Linked DNA regions of Rattus norvegicus. The protein of the gene in region 2 purifies or fractionates together with the protein of the main gene of each other region. This does not show direct contact. Links are inferred from orthologs where the notes say so. Each region holds a gene or a part of one and is shown on either strand. Other genes may lie near its edges.

What was found. The genes of interacting proteins can lie anywhere in the genome.
Region 1: the proteins of Kifap3 (region 2) and Kif3a purify together in Homo sapiens (co-immunoprecipitation; 9 studies listed by BioGRID and IntAct, counting the BioPlex papers as one, with this or other methods). This does not show direct contact. The link is inferred for Rattus norvegicus from reciprocal best matches to the Homo sapiens genes KIFAP3 and KIF3A.

Annotation. Positions count from the first base shown.
Region 1 is NC_086028.1:38,257,630-38,260,509, reverse strand, and holds the end of Kif3a (kinesin-like protein KIF3A), read right to left. Parts: intron 2,677-2,880; coding exon 2,552-2,676; intron 1,160-2,551; coding exon of another isoform or gene 1,156-1,159; exon of another isoform or gene 620-1,155; coding exon 571-619; 3' UTR 521-570; downstream 1-520. UniProt on the Homo sapiens protein: Microtubule-based anterograde translocator for membranous organelles. Plus end-directed microtubule sliding activity in vitro. Plays a role in primary cilia formation. Plays a role in centriole cohesion and subdistal appendage organization and function.
Region 2 is NC_086031.1:78,795,694-78,798,364, reverse strand, and holds the end of Kifap3 (kinesin-associated protein 3), read right to left. Parts: intron 1,881-2,671; coding exon 1,772-1,880; 3' UTR 544-1,771; downstream 1-543. UniProt on the Homo sapiens protein: Involved in tethering the chromosomes to the spindle pole and in chromosome movement. Binds to the tail domain of the KIF3A/KIF3B heterodimer to form a heterotrimeric KIF3 complex and may regulate the membrane binding of this complex.

The DNA of each region.
Region 1 (2,880 bases), on a different chromosome or scaffold from region 2:
ATTTAACTGCATTAAAATGTAAACCTGAAAAGCTATCAGATTTTACAATTTCCCACCGGAGATCAATAAAGGCAGTCACTGCACACTTAGATGCAGTTAATATTCCTATAAAGTTGGGCTGCACTTAGGCAGGCCAGGCAGGTGTAGGACCAAGTCTCTGCTCAGATGAGCAGCCCAGCACAGGACACAGGACAAGGAGATCTGCTATATGCTGGGTGCAAACAAGACAGACTGGGTTCTGTTCTGAGACTCTGCTTGTCTAGAGCCACAGGCGTTGAATACAGAGCTAAGAGACGCACAGTCACGAACAACCACAGTGCCCTTACTGCCTGCAGAGCGTGTGACAGACAGTGCACCATGCCCAGCGGTCATGAGCTGCACACTTACATGTTACAGAAACTAAAGAGTCTAAAAAATGTTAGGAAAACTGCTATTCCAGTCTCTCTCCGTCATTGACAGCTTCTATTATGTGAACATACAGGTGTCCTCCGTGTCTTAATTAAGGACTTCTCTCCAGGCATGAGAATATCACTTTTTATTATTATTATTGTAACTTTAATTCTGTAACATTTACTGAAGTAAAGAATCAATTACGGTCTCAGGCTTTGCAGAACGCTTTCTGTTAAGAGAAGAAAAAAATGCAAGGTGAGTGGTTTTCCCTAAGAGACTGAACTGCCAACACTTTTTGTGGTCAGGGTCCAGGAATGGACCAACACTGCCCATGCTTGACATAGCAAGGTTCGCCTGCTACCCATTTTTTCCAGGGTAGGTCACTGAAAGCAAGCACAAGAGCAGGTTGCCACAGCACAGTATTCCAGAGTGGTGAGCAGCTGAGCGTAGGCGGGGTCAGACAAGGTGCAGTCAGGTGGCAGCTAAACTTATCAGGGATGCCCCTTGGTCATCTCCTCCGAGGACGCTAACAGTACAGGCAGCCTCAGAGAAGCAGGAAAAGCAGTCACTTGCCAGGTGCAGGCGCTGAGCCTATAGGAGTCTGTCATGGGCTTTCTTTGTTGCTGTCCAGCACACTCAACTGCAGGCCTCTCAAGAAGCACTGCTCTGTTTTCTTATTTCTTAGGATAACTACGGGGTTTTTCCAGGCCTGGATTCTGTTACAGAGTAGAGTCTGCATCATATGTTGGCCCACAAGTATTTTCTTTACCTTAAGTTAAACAAGAGGCATATATTTTACAGTGGTGCATTATAAAAACTAAATCAAAACAGCTTGCCAAACTATTTGTTATAAGATCTATACAGTTTAAAAAATGTAGTTGAGTAACCTGGGTCCTCTTTTTTTTTTTTTTGGTTCTTTTTATCGGAGCTGGGCACCGAACCCAGGGCCTTGCGCTTCCTAGGCAAGTGCTCTACCACTGAGCTAAATCCCCAACCCCACCTGGGTCCTCTTTTAAAAGGCAATAGTCCAGTAATAATGGGGCCTCTGTTCCCACACTAACAAGGGACAGAACCTCTCTCCCAGCTTGCTCCCCTGCCCTGCTCTGCCTGTTTCTCTGTCAAGCCAACTGTCTCATTATGATTCGCCCCATTTGAAGTGCATCTTCATAATAACTGGCGAGCAGAGACGAGCATCTTCCAATGGCAGAACAGTGGGGCTGCAGGGATGTGTGGTGCTCAAGGGCATTTGTTGTTATTCTGAAGACCTGAGCTCACATCCCAACACTCACATGGTGGCTCTCAATCAACCACTCCAGGGGACCTGACGCCTGGTACACATATAAGCATGCAGGGAGACACTCATATATAGATAATACTTATAGATTTAAAGATTCCATGTACAGATTCAGTTAGCATATAAAAATCTTTAAATCATCTACATGTTACAAAATGCAAAACTCTTGTAATATTTTAACAGGCAACTGATTCCTTCAAGCCCTAGTTTAATGATCTCGATTTTTTAGTATTACATTTAAAGACTATGTAACACCAATTAACCACCCTGCATGTAAAACAAAAGTCTTGTAATTGGTTCAAATCAGTTCAATGTAGGAACACAGGGAGCATTAGCCCCAAGCCTCTGCGCTTAGTGATGAAGCACAGACTACACAACTATCAAAACTGGTGCGAGTCACACGCGCTTCTCTTGAGATCTAGGAAATCAGTGTCCTTGGAGCAATGTCTTTTGAGAATCAAACTAGGCAAATTAATTAGTATCTAAGTAGGAGACTTAGTGTAAAAATTAAGACCCTCAACAAGAGAGTAGGTGGTGGGTAAACACTAGGAAAGGTCTTCCCGGGGCAGAAGTCTGAAAGAGCTGCTCTTTTCCTGTTTTGTTTGAGACAGGTCTTACTGTGAAGCCCTGGCCATCTTGAATGTGCAATGCAGATGAGGCTGGCCTGGAACTCAGATCTTCAGTCTGCTGTCACCCACGTCCTGGGAAAAGGTGTTTGCCACCACAACTGTCCCAGAGTGCAATTCTTTATCTCTACTTTGCTTATCAAATTGTAACTGCATAAAGACATAATTTCAAACTGTGCCATTTCAACTAAAGTTTGACTGCCTTTAAGTGTATCTGAATCTACCTTCTCAACCTGCTCACCTTCTACCGGTCTTTGGCCTGGCCTTTCCCTTGGAGGTCCGTGGCCTTTCTAACTTCATCAGAGACTGACGCAAACTCTCCTCTGTATAGGCGAGGTACACGTGGGAAAGGTCTACTTCAAATGGCTACAAGAAAACACATACGCATGTTAAACCAGAATGGGGAAGATTTAAAACTTGTCGGACATGAGGCAGAAGAACCACTAAAGAGAAAATCAAATAACCCTTAAGGTGTTTTCTGTCCCAGTATGCACGCTGTACTCAAAGCTCGAGAATTACAGGTCCCAATGCACCACAAAGTCCCCAGATGTAAAGAACAACTCCGGCTGA
Region 2 (2,671 bases):
TGTACATAGACTGTGCATGTGATGGACAGCACGTGTACATAGACTGTGCATGTGATGGACAGCACGTGTACATAGACTGTGCATGTGATGGATGCATGTGTACATAGACTGTGCATGTGATGGACAGCACGTGTACATAGACTGTGCATGTGATGGACAGCACGTGTACATAGACTACACATGTGATAAGCAGCAGGGAAGCATCTGTACAAAGACTGCTGTAGTGAAAACCAAGTCAGGTAATCCACTGACTAAATATAGAAACATGGGCAAGTCATTAATATCTCACCTCAGTTTAAAAAAATATTTTACACGTAGTTGTCTTGGGGTTCATGTAGGGTGCACGTGTGTCACAGTGTGGGGTTAGGGTGCATGTATGAAGACAATGTGCAGCAATCGCCTTGCTCCTTCAACCACGTAGGTCCTGGGACTTGAACTCAGGACTTCAGGCTTGGTGGCAAGTGACTTTACTTACCCAGTCATCCCACTGGCTCTCACCATAGATTTTTTTTTTTAGTCGTAAAAATGAGAGTTGGACAGTGCTGATTCGAACCTTTCTGGCTTTAATATTTTGTGGGTAAAGGGAAACAAAGACAATAGCTGCATGCATTCAGAGTTGTAGAGCACACACAGACGCCGTCCCAGATCATACACTACCGTGTGTGTCAGGTGAGAGCACACCTGTTGCTTAGCTTTACATTTCTCAGGCAGATGACCGTCCCAGCACCAGGACTCTGTGAAACGTGTGAATTAAGGTAAACAGTATACTTGGATCAGTGGGATTTTAAATTTAAAAGCAGAAATCTTCCCCTTGACCTGCACTGTTCTGAATTGTATGTTTCCTTCAGTAGGAGATGATCTGTGCTCATATTGGATTCATTTGCTTGGTTTCTCAAGGAAAGTTTTCAGTATTTTACAATCAATGAATTATTTTCAAAACCCATTATTAATCATTGTGTCCCTTTTATTCCCACCACCCACTTCTAACTTAAGTGAACAGAGAGTCCTTTCCTTAATTTTCTTAGGTAAGGCAAAAATACTTAGCATCTTCACAGTTTACATCGTACATCTCAGAAGAACAAAACTTACAAGCTCAGTGTTGCTCCTGCTGCACTCACAGAGGATCCCGCTCCTCAGTGTCTGCTGCAGTTAACATGTCAGGACTCTGGGTCACTCGCTAGTCTATACGTGCATAACTTACTTATAGCATGTGTTCACTGTTAAGTTAAAAAACTCATATAGTTAAAAACTTTGTGAAAGAAACTTCCAGACACAGCATGGGATAAAAAGAATGAGGTTCATTTAAAATAAAAGGTAAAGGCAGCATGGCTCACACGAAACACTAGGAGTTTATAAAAAGAAAGAGAACGCAAAAAAAAAAAAAGTATGTGTATCCCATGTACATGAGTGGTTCCTGTGAAACACAGTATGAACACATGACTTTGGCCCACTCCTTTGCGGGCATGCCACCTTTTAATAGAGATTAGTCACGTAGTGTAAATGGTGTAGCATCTGCTTTTCCAGGCTAGCAGCTCTGCAGCAGTCTCATGGGAAATGTCATTCACCTCAAGATGTGGCTGGATGCGTGAACGGTGGAGCATCAACCATGTCAACGAAAGGCGTGAGGTTAGCGCTAACCCGAAGCTAACAGCGGGGAGAAATAAGCAACGCAGCCCCACAGGAGAACAACATGCATTATTAAGTCAAGATTCAAGGTTAGCCCACAGCACACAGATCTCTCCTCAGCCGAGTTATACATGGGAGGGTGATTTTATCGAGACCCAAAGCTGTAGTAGTAAGGCTCGTCAGGGCGGAATCCATATGCGGTGGCGGGGCGTCCGAGGATTCCCACTGGCTGACCAAAGCCATCCATTCCAAGGCTGGAAAGAGAAAGGCAGGTTAGAAGTGCTCTGCTTTCAACCACAGCAGGTCATTGTCAGGACCCCAGAAGCTCACTTCAAAGACTCCTTGACAGCGACATAATTTTCAAAGATATTATTAACCTTTTATATTCTCATTAAAATGTACACAATAAAATATATGCCTCTGACAATATATGTCCAAATATCAGAAACCTGTCTGGAGGGTCTGTTCCACATAAAGCAGAAGACTCAATTGAAAACGATTTGAATGAACAAATTATGAAGGACTAGGGAAAATCACATTCGAGCAGTGAGTGCATTACTGCACTGGGAATGATGGCATGGCAAGGGTTTGCGGACTATTGCACGGTCTCTGTCCTGAGGAATAGAGACGATCCCCCAATTAATAGGATATGCAATCTGAGTATCAGCAGTGAACTCCCAACACATCTAAGTTATACGAGTCTGAAAGAACAAGAGAGAACGCTACACGGCCTGCAAACCAGCCAGAGTTGGTCTGTAAACTCTGAAAGCCAAATTGTGTATCTTTTCCTTTTTAGTAAAAGCAACACAATTGTATGCTCTGGTTTACTCTATGCAAGCAGAAGCCCTAGAGTCACAAAGACAGCCCACAGCACAGACACAGTTTACTCTGAATTCACAATTTTGTTTTGTCTACGAATAAACTGTTAGAAGAAAATCTGTTCTTCAAAAGCATCTTAGCAAAGAGTCACCAATGCTGACAAAAAGGCAAGATGTCCATTTTCCAGGCAGCTAGGGCGGCTTCAACATGCTCATGCATGCATAGC